3 linked regions of the Oreochromis niloticus genome follow. The protein of the gene in region 1 purifies or fractionates together with the protein of each later gene. This does not show direct contact. Links are inferred from orthologs where the notes say so. Each region holds a gene or a part of one and is shown in the gene's direction. Other genes may lie near its edges.

Evidence for each region.
Region 2: the proteins of AP-2 complex subunit mu-A (region 1) and numb purify together in Homo sapiens (affinity purification with mass spectrometry; 3 studies listed by BioGRID and IntAct, counting the BioPlex papers as one, with this or other methods). This does not show direct contact. The link is inferred for Oreochromis niloticus from reciprocal best matches to the Homo sapiens genes AP2M1 and NUMB.
Region 3: the proteins of AP-2 complex subunit mu-A (region 1) and necap2 purify together in Homo sapiens (affinity purification with mass spectrometry; 4 studies listed by BioGRID and IntAct, counting the BioPlex papers as one, with this or other methods). This does not show direct contact. The link is inferred for Oreochromis niloticus from reciprocal best matches to the Homo sapiens genes AP2M1 and NECAP2.

The regions. Positions count from the first base shown.
Region 1 is NC_031982.2:12,070,406-12,076,080, forward strand, and holds the start of AP-2 complex subunit mu-A, read left to right. Parts: upstream 1-1,660; 5' UTR 1,661-1,849; intron 1,850-3,272; 5' UTR 3,273-3,320; coding exon 3,321-3,394; intron 3,395-5,675. Other genes in the region: segment polarity protein dishevelled homolog DVL-3, read left to right, coding at 1-153.
Region 2 is NC_031983.2:21,449,659-21,455,333, forward strand, and holds the start of numb (protein numb homolog), read left to right. Parts: upstream 1-2,578; 5' UTR 2,579-2,729; intron 2,730-5,675. UniProt on the Homo sapiens protein: Regulates clathrin-mediated receptor endocytosis. Plays a role in the process of neurogenesis.
Region 3 is NC_031970.2:21,522,296-21,527,970, forward strand, and holds the start of necap2 (adaptin ear-binding coat-associated protein 2), read left to right. Parts: upstream 1-2,179; 5' UTR 2,180-2,260; coding exon 2,261-2,355; intron 2,356-3,097; coding exon 3,098-3,198; intron 3,199-5,259; coding exon 5,260-5,364; intron 5,365-5,599; coding exon 5,600-5,675. UniProt on the Homo sapiens protein: Involved in endocytosis.

The DNA.
Region 1 (5,675 bases):
CTACCCCCTCAGCCACCACACCTTTCTACAGCTGCACCTGGTGCCCCACCTGGCAGAGAGCTTGCCTCGGTGCCCCCTGAGCTCACTGCGTCACGGCAGTCTCTGCGCATGGCGGTGGGCAACGCTGGAGAATTTTTTGTCGATGTGATGTGACACCGGTTATAAAGACCTAAAGGCAGAAATGGAACCACCCTGTTGTGTACGCTGAGAGAAAATGCTCCTCCTCTCTTGTACTTTTTCTTAGTAGTTGTAGTGGCCATACTTTCTTCAGTGAAGAAACACCCCCCACCCTGCTCCAGATGGAACCAAAGCGCCTTTCTCAGTTTCCGCTCCACGGTGGGGAAGAGTTTTAGCGAGGACAAAGAGCAGGAGAAGGGAGGGAGGCAGTGGAAATGGTCAGCTGGGGTAGATGACTCAGTGCTTTTCCACATGGATGTTTTTCATTTGTTCTTCTTTTCACTCTTCCCTCCCCTCCTCTGGGTTCCTTATCTAACGTTCTCTGTCCTCCCCCACCCCTGTCCACGTCCAAACCGAGAGAGACTGAAGCCTCTTCCCTCCTCCTGTTCTTTTTTCCCCCCACTTGCTGACCTCTAACAAGAAAAAAAGAATGACTGAAAGAAGCTGAAATGAACACTAACTGTTAATCTTATTCAGACTTTTAAAGTATTTGCTTGACTTAAGAGAGAAAGAAAGAAAGAAATGTATGTAGTGCAAGAGAATTACAGTCCATACTTTGAGAATGCATTTGTTTTATTATATGTGTAGCTGGTCACAACTAGTTTCTTTTTCTTTTTAATGCTTAACATGAGCATTCAGTTTCCAGAGTCGTTTTTATACGGCACAACTACATTTTCGTCTGCTAACCAGCGAATCTTCAGACTGTCTTGTGATAATGTATAGTGGAAAAAAAATTTCTTACCATGACTTTCACACTACTCTTTTATCAAGGAAAATGTCTTTTTATTTATAAATATAGTTTTATGACTTAAATCTGCTGCTTTCTGTTTTGTGTGCTTGTGTATACCTTTCTGCAAAACCAAAAACTGAAACCTAGTGAGTTTTTTCTTTTTGCCTTTATGGTACCTGAGGTTATATTTGCATTTAAAAGCAGTGGACTGCAAACCGTCCAGGCGCAGGAATGTGAAGGTTAGGCAGTCTGCTGTACAGATGTGTGTGTGAGAATGAGTGAGAGAGAGTGGGGGAGCGCTGTGGGAGTGTGCAAACGTTCAGCCTGTGTACATTTGGACTTGCCCCAGACTGAACAACTCTATGCAAAATGTTCCCTGTGGTTTGAGGCGGAAACTCCTGTTGAGAGGCGATTCGGTTCAGTTTGGAAAATAAAATTGAAGTTGACTCTGCAGGACAGGGTAAAACAAGACCACCCATACTACCACCATGGAAAAAATAAACAAAATGCAATAGTGTTTTTTTTTTTCTTCTTCTTAAACTTCTTGGAGCCAATGAGAAATTGTCGATATTTAACAAGTACATATACATGTCAGCGCAATTCAAATCTATTGTATAAGGGATTCTAGCCCACTTTCCAGCTATTAAACATAACCATTACCTTCCGTAAAACGTGAAACGATAACTGGCCAGTAACCCATGTCGCTTATCGTATCGAGGCCTGGGTGCGGTTTACACATCTTTCCAGCCGCGCCTTTTCCTGTCACGGCGGAACGGCTGTGCGTAAGGACGGCGGGTCAGCTGACAGCTATCAGAGGACCAGGAGGAAGGAGCGGAATTAGCGGGCGTGTGAACTGGGAACCTACTGGATCCTGACATAAGCTATCCGAGGCCGAACGGGGAGGCAAAAGACTGGTGGCGTTCTTGAGAGAACTAGGGTAAGGTAAAAGACTGCAGTTTTTTCGTTAATTAGGGTAACTGTAGTCCGGAAACCACTACGGAAAGCCGGTGAAACGGTTTCATTTGTGAGTGATGCTAACGTAGCAACATTAGCCGCCGCGGCGCTAGCTAACGTCAATCCATTAGCAGTACCTAGCCTGATAACGGAAAGGACTCGTTTTTTCCTTCAAATTAAAAGCAAGGAAGGGCGCCCTTGTAAATATCTCTTATTACGTTATATATTACCCAACACTGTTGAATAACCCGTGCTGTATTTTTACGTGGCTAACTCGTCTGTTGTCGATGATAGTTAATGGTTCTCTTTAAGGTCTCGTCAAATTGACTGGTTTTCTTTTGACCGGAAGTCCATTTAAAATTCTGCACGGCTCGACTCCGGTTCGCTGAATATCACCGCCAGCTAGCCCGCTATCGTGAGCTAAATTAGCTAGCTTATATCTCACTCGGTGTATTCTCCATCACTTCGATCTTAGTTGAAGGTCAAGCCTCTAACCACAGTCAAGCCACTTAATAATATTTAAGACAAAAAAAATGGTAGCTAACCTGCCGCGCGGTGGTCGAGGGAAAAAAATGAAAAATATGAAAAATGTATGAACGTTAGGAAATGGCCCGAGTGAGCAGACATCTTGACTTCGCCGATAAATGGGCGATTAAAGCACTCGGCTTCTGTGCGAGGTTTATTCTGTCACGACTCGGCGGTGCTTTAACGAGGAGATATTTTCTCACTTGCGGGCTTATATCTGTGCGGTGGTTTTCCTCTGAATGCTGTTGTGTGTGTAAATGGTCTGGATTCTATCTTCGAGGAATGTCAGGCATGTCCTTCATCCTCTGTTTTCCAGAATCTTCATTCTTTAAGGAGGGCACCTTTCTGCAAGAATTAATCACCAAACGACAAAAAATGTCTTTAGAATATTTTTGATGATATTTTTTTATTTTAGAATATAACCCGATTCGGACAACACATGCCAGTAAGACGACACTTTAGTTAGGCCATCAGATTTTTAGCTGGCTGTCTGGTGGCATCCGGCGTCAGATTGGTAGCTGCTAATCTCTCGTCAATAATCTTATTTACTTTAGAAGAAAACAGGGAACTGTCTGTGGTGAGAGTAGTTGCAGTGGTTTTTAGCCTGTACGGAGTAAATAATGTATGTATGTGTGCGTGTCTTACAGAAAAATGAGTCACCACAGTAGTGCAGCTGCAGGATGTATCCATCTGGCTTTAGTGTGTGTGTGTGTGTGTGTGTGTGTGTGTGTGAGAGAGTGAGAAGGACGGAAAAAGCGGATGTGAGGGACAAATGCCTCTCTGTACTATTGCTTACTCCCTCACTTTTTTTGCTGCTTTCACTTCTCTACTTCTCTTCCTCCTTTTCCTTCCCACATATCCTGTCTTCATTTCTGTCTTTTCTCAGGAGGGCTTTGGTTTCACCATGGCAGGTTGGGATTGAAGAGCAGCCACAATGATTGGAGGACTGTTCATCTACAACCACAAGGGGGAGGTCCTCATCTCCCGAGTTTACCGAGATGACATAGGGTATGTTCAGTTGGGAGAAACCCCGCTCTAATGTTCCCAGATTTTGAGAAACTCCAGATCACTGAGAAGGTCCTGATGCAGTGTGGGTGGAGAGGCTGCAGTTGATCCAGGATGAGAGAGGATTATGTCTCTTCTTGGCTAAGTTCACACGTGTCTTTCCTGTTGTTGACCAAATACAAACCTGCAACGGGATTAAATTTAGAGTAGTGTTACTGCCTCTGTGTAGTACAATTTTTAAAATAATCAAATGTGTACAAAAATATTTATTATGGACTTGGTTTATAAGTGACTAAATACAGAAAGGAACAATTGAGGGGGAAAAAGTTATTCTTTTTCCATATTGTCTGAGGTAATGATTTGGTTCACTCAAGCTTATCCAACCACACCTTGTGTTTAAAAGATTAAGTGCATCTGAGTGAAAAGCTCTTCCAAATTGATTCAATGTTGACTCTTCCTTGAAGACACAAGTTATTAATTCTTACCATATGGCAGAAAGGCACAGAGAGGAAGCCTTCTTTTCCCTCCCCATAAAGATTGCTTAATATCCTGTAGACATTCATTTACTAGTCAGTGATAACATATTTTAACTTTAAAGTCTTCAGTCAAACAGAAGGTTACTCACTGGTGTCAGGAAATGTCTTAAACCAAATGCATAATATCTGATGTATGCTGAACTGAAATGTTCACTGCTTATAACAATACATAAGGTCAGTTAAATCTCGCATGTGTTTGGAAAACAAAAGCCATGAAGGAGTTCGTGCTGTAGATTCCTTAACATTAATTAATTAATCCTAACACGGAGTCCCAATTTGAAATGTATTTTGCAAATTTTGTGGAAATCTGTTATACAGACATAAAGTGTGACTCTAGGCATATCAGATCAGATCTGTTACTGCTGCACAGCTCATTTGTGAGTTCATGTTCTCCTTCCTCAAACTTACTTTCTGTGATTTTACAGAGAGTAAGTTTGATTCTCACGTTTGGAGTGGAAGATATACACCAGCTTTTTTTTCTTTTTAAATGTTTTTTGTATGAGAAAGTCTTTACAAAGCAACTTTTATGTTATTGGAAGACCATAACTTATCCTAACACAGCAGTTTTAAGCCAGTTTTGAAGAGAAACCTTTGACAGTATACACACCACGTTGTAATAATGTCCATGAAGGTGTCAGGTTGCCTACGTGGTTTCAGATGTGCCATGTAAGGGCTCCGCTTGGTGGCCAGAAGATTTGGCCACATCCCCTTTTTCTTCTTCTTCTTCTTCTTCTCCATTTAAACACCCCAGATAATACTTGTAAAATTATGTCAGGCAGGAACAGTTGCCTCATCTCATATTTGTAACACAACAGGAGATGGTCTGCTTAAAATGTATTTTCACTGTCCTACTCTGTTTGGTTTCGGTAGCAATGCCTGGGTGATGCTCTTCATCCATCAGGCAGCATGCGGCACTTCGCTGGACAAATACACGCTCAGTTCTCACACCGGGCCACCTGGCATGACATATATTTTGTACTAGGGACTGTTTAATGTCTGGTGTGACTTGGCGAGTGCTTGTAGTATCATATTTAGCTCTACAGAGTTACACTGAGAAAGAGTCACCAATGTAAATAGCTAAATTTGCCTATTAAATTCTGTGTATTCACATTCATTGACTGTTCTGAAGTCCAAGTAGGCTCTTTTCCAGAACTGAGAGACCAGGCCATTGTAGATTTACACAGTGAAGGTTGGCAAGCTGTAGAGGGACAAGTGTGTGAACTGATACACTTGTATTCTCCTGTTTTTGGGTCAAGAGATACATTTTTGGCCTTTTTTAACATTTAATCTATTTATTGAAGGCATGGTGACACCACAAACACAGTTGGGGAGAAAACGGATTGAATAGTAAGCAGTATGCTGCATTGCAGAACTGTTCAGTATGACCTGTTGCCTCGAAAAGCTGAGCCACTCAGACACCACTTAATGGTCTGAGTTGGCTACATGCAGTGTCATGCAGGGATCTGTATATTCAATCTGTGCTGTTTTTAGCAGGATTAGTAAAATAATAGTTTTTTTTTATTTTTCATGCTTGCTCCTTCCTTGTCAGCTGTAGCACAAACACAGCTGCTTGTTTTGCTTTCTGATACGCAGCGCTGCGTGTACTACAGATTGACAGTGAATAAGGAAAGGTAATGTCTTTGTATATTGTTTTCGTATTAAGCTTACAGGGGGAAAAAGGCCAGAGAAAATTCTAATGTCATGTTCTTGCTTCCACATTTCGTCCTTTATCTTTGATGTTGAGCTCA
Region 2 (5,675 bases), on another chromosome or scaffold:
GTCTTGAAGTCAACTTCTAGCTCCTGCTCATTGTGTCTTGGGGACAAGAGTGCGCTGAAAACATTTTAAGACCCTGTTGAACAAAACATCTAAGGTCTTCTGTGTACAGTGCTTCATCCTTCCAGGATGCTTTAGTTCTTCTAAGTAATCTACGCTTTTCACAGAAAACTGTCACACATCCCACTTTTTCATTTCTGTATCTATTCTGGTCTACATGTTGCTTAAATCTGGAATAGTGAAGATTACCCGTAAAGAAAGAGTGCATAATGTACTGTTGCTAATATGCTGACTTGCACTTGACCCACTCTGAGTCTTGAGGTTTTTGGGCTGTTGAAGCATGTCTGATGACTGTGTGGACCAGGGCAGTTTTATGTGCAGTCAACTAAAATCTGAAAACAAATTTTTTTAATTGTTATTGCTGAATGGCAGTCTTGAAACCACCATGCGAAGCACTGTCAGGAAGATTATTTATTGTTTTTGCATGGTCAGACCCAAAGAATGTTTTTTTTCCTCTGTCTCTACAAGGTTTTATGTAAATATTTAAGGCAGGTAATGGCTTGTTTTGTGTAAAGTTCTCTATATGTTGTTTGAAAAAATAAAATGTGGTAATGGAGACATTGCTGTTGTAGTCATTTGAATAATAAACTGGATTACTGCACCATCACCGCTGTTTTCATCATTTTATAAAACAGCAAAAATCCTTTTTTGCATTGTACATGTTTGCATCCTAATTCACAATGGATATCCGAATAATTACATGGGGCTTATTGTAGCCATTTCAAACTTCATTTGAAGCCTTGGTGTCTACTAGAGTAGATTTACACGATTCACAGTTAAAAGTAATCATTTATTCTTTTGTGTAGCCAAACAACTGGTTTAGCTTCTCTCGCTTTAAGCCTTCTTTCTCATCATTGGTTGCCCCACTCAAACATAAAGTTTAAACAGTGGTTGTTTGGACTCAGTGCCTAACATAACCATTTTTAGACTATCCCCTGTCCTTGGTATCACAAACACTAAAGTGAGTCTGAAACGGAGTGAGCTTTTGGCTCACAGGCATTACTTTCACATACTCTAACCAGATTATTTGAAATTATCCATTTAAATATACAAAGAAAGCATTGCAGATCCACTTTCAAGTCCATTATATTTGAGACATTTATTTAAAGTATATATATCTTTAATATAAAGCAAAAAAATCAAATGGAGTTCTTCAGATGCTGATAGTTTCTATAGATTATTCTGTTACTTGGGGCCAGTGTGAAATTAGCAGTGTATTCCCTTTAAAAATAAGGGCCATGATTAGCTTCAATGTGTGCATAAATAATCTTTTTAATTAGGCAACGCAGTAAGTGGGAAAACGTGTAGACTCCTGGCTACATGACTGAAACCGTCCACCACTCATTACTCACACACACAAAGTGACCACCAGGGGGCATAATATGCTAACTTTTTTTCATTATAACGTTGGTCTCTTCATAGATGGAACCTCATGGTAAAAATAATAGATATACAAAATTAAAATGAATGTAAAAATAAAATAAAACAAGACTCTCGAAGAGTTAAGATAATTAAGGGGAAAAAATCGAGGCAGTAACAACGTGTTGGAGACTGGGAGGTCACTGCTGGGGCACTGTGAAGATTAATAAAGTTACTGTACAAGGCTGCATAACAGGCTTGACAACTTTGTGAACCAAAGTTTTTTTTTTTTTGTTTGCCTCCTTGTTGGTTTCATAACCTGTGAGGACACAATACAAGTTACACTGCAGCTTACAAGGCTTTAAAGGTATGCGAGGAATGCAACTTAATGCTGATAAACTTCTGGCCTTTTCAAGGGGTCAGTGAAGACAGAGGGAGTGGAGGAAGCCTTTAACTGGATGTATATGAAAAGAAACACGTTTCACTCGTTTAAACGTGCTTCGTTTTTGTTATGTGGTGAGAACGTGATGGCCTACACAGGAAGGATGATTGCGGTGAAACTCGGGATGGCACTGCACTGATGCCCTAATTTTTTTGTCGTTTCAGGAGTGACCTCACTGACAGGGTTATATTTGCATATCACCCAGACAATGAATTTGTAATGAAGGTGCTCGTTAAAAGTGGCGCAACTGAACGTTTGCAGTGGTGCCTTACATAGCCTGCTACATTTGAGAGGAAAATAGCACTAATATATGAAATACAAGAAAACCTAATGAGAACATAGGCATACAATTTGATACCTGCTTATATAGAAATCAGCCCCACTGTCACAAAATACGAAAAGTAAAGTGTTGCTTGCAACTTATTAATTGTAACAATAATCCATCACACACTCTTCAGGTCAGATTATAGTAGTTATATATTTACAGGTGCATCTTAATTGGAGCTAAACCCGATAGACTGAAGCGGTGTCTTACAATGTGCTTTCACGCCTGCTTCTCTTAATGACTACAAGACGAACAGCGTAAAGAGTGAAACTCAGCTTCGATCCAGGTTGCACTATCGAACATCGATCACCTTCGATGTACACGCGCCGGCCAATGGGGTCACGCGGAGGCGGTCCGTTGCTAAGGAGGAAGTTTGATTGAGGCTGTGAGTAGCAGCCATTCAGCGGCGGTGGCTGAAGCGATTGGACTGCGAGCGTCTCTCCCGACACTTTCTGTGGAATTTGAATTATTTTGGCACGGCACGGCTCGTGATACACTGGTGACGGCATACACGGGGCATCTTGAGGGTCGCAGCGGTGATCGCAGGTAGGCTGAAAGTGGGCTGTGTGCACTTTGGTAAGCATGCCCGGTGAAGCTTGTTAGCTCACCGAGCTAAGCAGCACTAGCTTGTGCCTCTCTGATGCGGCACACGGAGCTATGGCAGCTCCCATTAACACGGCATTTAGCTCTCTTGCTAACCTAACAAAATAGATGGTGTTAAGCTGTCTAACATCTTTATCTGCTGTTGGAAAATATCTGCTTCTGTCTTGCCGAATAAGCTAAGGTGTTTAAGAGGTATGGCTAACGTTAGTTAAGTAGCTAACGATTCTCAAGTTACCTGGATAACTTTAGGGGGATGGACGTTATTCAGCAAAATGACCTAAGCTCATCGGATAGCTTGCTCCTAGCACACGGTTTGTCACGACATTCACTTACACCCTATCACACGGTTCGCTTGTGTAATACCATTCTTACAAATGATATTCATCGGTAGCTTGGCAGTTTAGTGACTTGCAAGTTTCTCCCCCCCGCCCCCCTCAAAAAGTGTTAATTCACAATAAAGGTGGGTCTTCTTAACACTCATCCATCCAGACAGGTTGATCACCATGACGATACAGACTGTGACTCAGAGTCTTAGCACTCGGAATGTTCTGAAGTGTGATAATGTGTCTAAGATCGTCTTATATGGCAGGTGGATCTTTTCTTGCAAGAGAGATCAAGAAGTCCGCCATTCATGATCAGATAACCATCAGTGGTCAGATTACCTTCCACGTGGAGACTGTACTAAGATAGCCACATGATAGATTGTGTGATAGCCCCAGCAGCACAACCATACGGTTGAAACATCCTGTTTATTGGACGCTAATTCTATTTGGATTCTGTCATTAGGCATTTTATTATTGGAGCAGCGATGTAATTTGTGACCAGAAATAATACACAGGATGAGTTATTTGTTTTTGTTTGGAAAACACAGACGCAACCCTCTGGGTGATCGAGGAGAGGTGCTGAAATCCACTTATTCTGACTGTAAATATCAGATTATAGTAAAAAAGAAGGAGTTCAAAATATGTCCTGCATTGCTTATTTTATTCTGCTTACAATACTAGCACTCGGTTTCAGAGTGCTCAGAGCAGTGGGGGATGTAGTCAAGTGCTATACAGTTTATGTACTTTTTATTAGGTATTGCTAGTACCAGGTTTGACTCCCCTTTTCATTGAGAACAGAAATTCTTTGTGGCACAGATTCATAGGTTGGTTAGGTTGGACATGTTGAATGTTGTGCTCCTCACCTTTCTTCCCCATTGTGATGCTCAGTTTGAACTTGGTCTTGTCAACCAGCTCTCCCAGTTGCTGCCATGTGATCGGCTGATCATTTGTTTGCATTAACGAGTAGTTGATCAGGTGCACCTACTAAAGTGAGTGAGGAGGACATTAGGAGTGCTCGCACATCAGCTGTTGACTGCTGTCAGGCTATCTGCAGGGAAGATGACATTTACTGATGGCAGGGGATAGTTATCTGTTGTGTCATGTCAGTTTTGCACAGGCTAAATGTTTAATGATGGTGTGTTAAAGACCTGAAAGAAGCAGTAGACTTTCTGTTAGATAAGGGTTAGAAAAAGAATGTTAGGGCAGAAAATAAAAGCAAAACAATCAAAAAAGATCTGCCAAATGTATATTTTTAGCTGTGATTTTGAACTGGATGTATCAATGGATTAATTCCTAGAGAAACAGGGTAGTCTTAAATCTATTTACCATATGTAAAAAATCCTCAAAGAACTATAAAAGCAATACAGGAAAGAGAAGTAGTCATTATTGTTATTCATCCCTAGTGGTAGCACAGTAATGACCAGAGAGATGCAGTTTGTTTTGATGTCAGCTCTTATCCAGGGTTTGTTCTGCATTTACAACATTTTGGCGCCCATCAAAGACAATTTAGCCTTCACTCTAAGGAAAATCACCAGGACTGTGATTTTTGTCAATATTTTTTGCTAGTGGTCTCTAAATTACTCAGCCTTAAAATACACATGCAGACTTCTGTAAGGTGAGGTTATACAGACCCTTTTGTGGTTATGTTTGTAGCAGTCTCCAAAGGCTCATTTTGTGTTCATTTTGTGTTCTTTTTGGGGGACTGCTGCTTTTCCCTAACAGAGAGAGATGAGATTCTTTTTCCTCCAAATTTTGAAAGGGATGGCTTAGCTCATCTCACAGGATGAGGGAGGCAAGATTGGCTACCAGCCACCGAACCTACTGTGTAAGTCTGTCAGCTGTTTGGGAGAGGAGGAGAATGCAGGAGCAAGTCTCCGTCCTGAGCTCTGTGATTCACTCTGTGGGAGAATCTAGCTTTAACTCTCAGCATTTTGCTCTCTTCTCAAAGGCGGGGCCTACACTTGGCAGTGAGTTGTACATGTGAATACTGAGTAGTGATGCAACTGCAGGTAGATAAAGTTGCCGTATGATGACGATGCAGTCTAAAGCTTTACCCTGATAGGATGCTGATAGGAGAGTGATAGCTGAGCCTCTTGCTGCTCATGGTGAAATTAGAGTGAATGTCACTGTCAGCTTAGCATTCAGTCCAGCGTTACCTTGATCATTAAGAGATGACTGATATGGCAGATATGTTTTTTGTTTTCATGTTATCGTCAAACAGTCTGGATCAGGGTGATGTGTATGTGTCATCTGAGCCCGTTTCAGTGTTGTTATCCATATCCTGTGCTTTTTGTCAACACCAGTTCTTGGTGGAAGTGATGCAGCCATTAAATGAAATGCTCAGATGTTTACTTATTAAACCTGACTTGCGTGGGAATGCGAGAAAAAGGGTTTGTAAACTCATCTTCACCGAGATGCCTGCAAACCCGATTCTCTTCCAAGTGATTTTTCGTCAGGCGTGACAATGTTATCCAAACGCGTGGGTCTTTTGATGATGTAGATGTGCGAGATTATGACACGACAATGCGGACAATGCTGTCATTAACATCAAACGCTAAAGCGGAAT
Region 3 (5,675 bases), on another chromosome or scaffold:
AATGCTTGATGGTGCCATAAATCTATTGCGTGTTCAGCAGCTTGAGTGAGCAGCGATAAAAAATTGTACTGATGGAGCCTTTTGGTGCCTAGCAGTGTGCTTTTAATACTGTAGTCGATGGCAGTGGCTCAGGCCACAAGTGTCCACAATCCTCTGTAAGGCACGAGTGGCCCTTAAAGAAATGCCCGGTGGGCACACAGCCTGTGGCCAAAAAGAATAGAGCTGAAGGACAGTATCACTAAATCTAAGCTTATCTAAGCAATAATGATGAAATTACTCCCTTTTTTTTTCTTTCTCTTTTAAAATGTTGCCCATTTTCTGTGCTGTTTCTTTTTGTTCACATTTGGTTTTAAACAGTTCATATTGTTCATGTGTTTCATTTCTGACACATAGTACGTTTAAGTCAGGTGATCTGTAGTGTGTAAGAGCCTAGAAGATGTAGTCTGCATAGTCGTGTCATATTCAGTTGTATCTAATTGGCAGAAGTCATGAACTGAAAGTTTAAAGTGTGTAGAGAAAAAAAAAAGTTCCTTTGCTGTTTCAGAGCAGCTCAGCTCTGGAGTTGATGATGGATGATGATTTTGGTGGGTTTTCATACCAGCTGCAGTTTGCTGATTTATTACCTACGGTTAAGAGTTGTGTTAATTATTCTGAAATAATTATTTCAAGCCCAGCCTAGATTGGGATATCATCTAAAGCTTTGTGTTGGCAAATATTGTTGCAGGGCCAGGAAACCTGAAAGAAAATGGTGTTCTTTACCCAATATCATCTTACAATGTGGTCTGCTTGTTTGGGACCAATTTAAAATAAGAGTTTGCCTGCAATAACATGATAGTATAGGCAAATCCTGATGAATAACCAGTGCTGACACTTGTAGTAAACAGTACATGAGCCTGCGGCAGGTTTTCAACCTTTCCACGCTGTTATGCCTTAAAAGATAAACAATCCTTGGTCTCCATCACACGCTCTCCAGCGGGTAGTGCTCATACATATTTGGAGCTTTCTGTGAAAGGTTATTTATGTCACAAGTAAACTGTAGCACAGCACAGGAGCACATTTATCAACTTGGCTGGAAGTGTTGCATTTGTGCCACTTATTCCTGCTTCAAAAAGTAGAAGTTTTTGTTTTAGGAGATTATCTACAATGAAAAGGAGGACGTTTGGACCTACAACATCTAGATGACGTGCTACTAATACAGCGTTCCCAGGGATCCTATTCAATTATTGTAACAAGATGTGTTTCTAATCAGTTTAAATTGAAAAGGAGAAATAGTCATCCTGTACCTGTGTGACCTACCCATGATGCTTTGCTGAAGTCATTCATAGCCACCTGTCTAGTGTGAAGCTCATTTTATGTCATCATTGTTTTGAAGCTTTAGGGGGAAAAAAAGCTCATTAAATTTGAATACCCTTTAATAAACACACTCAGCGGTACAACTTGCTTCATGTGTTGTTATTTTAGATTACGCAGTAGTCTTGCATATGCTGCTCAGAATAATTAAGGGGGCACTGGATCAGCACAGTCTAAGATGGACTTCAGGGACATCAGTCTGCGTGTGAGGAGGCATCAACAATCCATGATCAGATCCATGATCTGTTTATAACTATCCACTGCATCCTGTGAGCTTTAGGCAACAAACATGTGACTTTTTCTGCTCTAGCCTTTCACCCTCAATGGAAAAACAACCCACATGAAAATAATTTGCTACTATGACTGTCCCCATGGTGACAAATGAATCTAATCTAATATTAGAGGGAATGTAGGAAACTTTGCTTAACACTTCAAAGATTGGGTCACCAGTTTGTCTTCAAACAATCACTGAAAAAAGTTTAGTTTGCTGTAATATTTCCCATTTGTACTGGGCATGAAGAGATGAAAGTGATTTTTAGGACAAACCTCACATAATGCATATTTTGTGTTATTTAGTACTGTGTAGTAATGTATCAGGAAGGAAATACATGAATTCACTGGCTTCTAGAAAGGACAGAAATACGATTTGTATCATTTTTTTATAAGAAGAGAATAATTTCAGTGTTCTTATGGAAAACTTCCTGTTCTTTCTCTATTTATATACATTATACTGTAGGCTATTGTAAGTTCTCATTGACAGACTGTGACGTACTCTTTAGGCGCTTATACATCCTGGCCAGAGGTGGCGCTGTTAGGGTCCGGTCAGCCTGGTTCAGCAGGACAGAGCCGAACAGGCGAAGGGTCCATTGAAAGTCGGAAGTTGGTTTTTGGGTTAGTGAAACTTGACAAGATGGCAGAAGACAACAGCTACGAGTCAATGCTCTGTGTAAAGCCAGAGGTCCATGTTTACCGGATCCCGCCGCGGGCCTCTAACCGCGGATATCGGTAGGTGCTAATGTTTTTAGCTGACGAGAGCAGCCAGACGTTTGATAGCGGGCTAATTTTGCAGAGATGCGCCAATTATCGGACAGCAAGTTTTTCAGGATAGTTTGTTAGGTTTTTTGTCATTCGATTACTGGTTTTACGGGTAGCCAATATTTTTTTTAAATAAATGTCATTGTGGCCAATATTTTGATAATTAGATGGACATTTCCGAGACAAATGAGTGTCGGCAAGTAAACTGGTGAACTGAGCTATTTCGAAACAGCACTTCGCAGCTGTATCAGCTCACGGAAATGGGACATCAACATCCTGTCGTCTTACCTGTGACTTGCACCTGTTGGCATTTAAAAGCTTACTTCACACGTCGCTGACACGCAGATGAAACGCTGTAGCTTAAGTCTGATTGGCCGGCCAAAGTATTGATTTTAAGTATCTGTCCAATAATAGATAGTTTGAAATGTGTCGTTTGTTTTAGTGGAGTCACGTCTTTGCTCCTAAACAATTTGTTGAAAACATCTTCTTACAGTTTAAATGCTGTAGACATAACAGTTAACAACTACATTTTAATGGCTTTAACATCTTTAAGAATAGATAGAGCTCGTCATGTCTCATTTTAGTCTGAGTCGAAGCTTTCATTTCCCTTCCTCCTCCATCAAAAGTAGCAGCTGGCAGTGACTGGGTCAGCTGTTTTCATAGAGGATTACACCACTTTCACAAGTAGATATGTGTTTCCTGTTTTTTATAGTGCTGCAGACTGGAAGCTGGATGAACCTGCGTGGAGTGGAAGGATGAAAATAACTGCCAAAGGAAAGATGGCCTACATTAAGTTGGAGGATAAAAATACAGGTGGGCAGAAAAAGCACTGCTTTAATTAGTGAAGTTACAAAGAAGACTAAGAAGAAGAAACAAAAATGGTAGTAAACCCAAAACTAGATTGTAGTAACTAGTTAACAGTTAGGTTTGTGTCTTCGTAGTTGTGTCTTACAATCCGTTGACGGTTTAAATATGTGGTTCAAAACCAGTATTTAAAGTGGGATTTGGCAAAGAGGATCTGGTAAAGTGTAACAGCATGATTCACTTAGAAAGGAGTCACATAGTCACTATAGTTTTCTATGCTGAGGTCCTGTAGGTTGTTTTCATTGCGAACAGGCTGTGATTAGCTGACCTGTCCTGCTTTGGCTCTGACGTCTTCTGCTCTTAGTGGATTTAGCCAACTGCATTTGACGATATACACTTGTGGTCACAAGTTCACGTACATCATGAGTGTTAATGTCATGATAATCTGGGACATTTAATGATTTCTTTGAACTGTTCTTGTTCCAGGGTGGAATGGTCACACAGTATACATCCTTAATTACTTTAAAAAACAACATTTGGATGCGCAAGCTTGAATATAATTAGAATTCTTTTAAATATGTACATGCACCCCTACTAATATTTGGTTAAATGTCTCTTAGCAAGTTGCACCTCGACCAGATGCTTTTGGTAGTCATCAACAAGCTCCTGGTATAATTCTGGTTGAACACTTACTTGGCAGAATTGGTGGAGTTCATTTAAGTCTAGTCCACAACATTTCAATAGGCTTGGCCTTGGGGCTTTGGGAAAATCATTCCAGAAGCTTAATGTTAGCCTGCTTTACCAATTCCAAAACCAGTTTTGATGTGTGTTTGGGAACATTGTCCTGTTGGAACACCCAACTATGTTCAAGTTTCGACCCTCCGGAAAGAAGGGTGGAAACTTGATCTGATCTGAAGTGATCCGAGATGAAGTTGAAGCATTTGGAGGTAGTCCTCTGTCTTCATTATTCCATCCACTTTGTGCAATGTACTGGTATCACTGGCAGAAGAACAGCTCCCGAAGATGATGCTACAACCACAGTGTTTGACAGCTGGTATAATGTTCTCAGTTTAAAAGTCTCAGCTTTACTCCTCTAAACTCTTGTCATTGTGACCAAACAGCTCAGTCTTTATCTCATCTGACCCCAAAACTTTTCTCCAGAAGGTATTTTACTTGTCCATGTGAGGAATTGCAAATTTCAGTCAAGTTTGAAAGTGCTGATTTTGGAGCAGGTGCTTCTTTCTTGGTCGGCGCCCTCTCCGTGGTGATGTAAAAGTGGTTTCACTATGGACAGCGATGCTGGTGTTCCAGCAGATGTCAATTCATGGCACGCTTGAATATTGGGGCTTTCTGGGTTTTTCCTGAACATCCTCACCAATTTCCTCTCATCTGAGGGTGAAAGGTTCGTTCTTCTTTCAGTCCTTGGAAAAAGAAGTGGTGACACATCCAAAAAAATTATTCAATTGCACTTGTTTAGTAGAGACCTTCCTAATGTGTGTAAATTTAGAATCCTCACATCTTTGCTGAGTTCTTTGGACTTTCCCATTATTCTGAGTATTGGTCAATACAATGAGTCTATAAAGGTCTATGTTGTACAATCATTACCCCCTGGAAATGGAACAAGTCAAATAAACCATTAAAAGCCATAATTACTGTGACGTTCATGGCCACAATGAATGTGTGTGCAACCTTCTGACCATAGCTGTGTGAACAGATGTTACTGACTATCACGGTTGCTTTGCGACCTGTAGCCAATGAGTGTCAAAAATGCAAAGAAGTAGGTCCTGTTATTCAGAACTAGCTTGTGTCTTTGAACTATTTTACTTACATTAACAGAAAAAATAGTTTAAAGGGTTTTTTGGAATACATTAAAACATTTTGCAGTTTCAGTGATTGTTACCAGGTCAACCTTTTACATTACAGCATGACATATTGTTACAGGGTTATCAAAGCTCCTTTTCAGAAACCTTGCTGTCTTCTTTTGTCTTATTCAGTCATCTCAACTTGACACCTTGTTGGTAACAGAAAAAAACCCTGGGGCTTTGTTTGGTGTAAATTTGCTCTTTGCAGGAGAGCTGTTTGCACAAGCTCCAGTCGAACAGTATCCAGGTTGTGTCGTGGAAGCAGTAACAGACTCCAGCAGGTATTTTGTGATCCGGATAGAGGATGGCAACGGTAAGACAAAGTATTTGGAACGGCTTCTTTTGTTTCATTAAGGGCATGCTCCACATTTTGTTGAGCTTGACTTAATCTCAGTATTTGTTTTGTACAACTTAACTTTTGTAATCTCATAGTCCCAGTTTCCTGTAAACTGTGTGCCCTGTTGTATGTGTGTTGTGATTTATAGATGTAAGGTTGAACCCGTGTGAACTAACTGTATAAATATCTTTTCCCCCCCCCACCCCTAAAGGACGTCATGCTTTTATTGGTCTGGGTTTTGCTGATCGTGGAGACTCATTTGACTTTAATGTCGCTTTACAAGACCA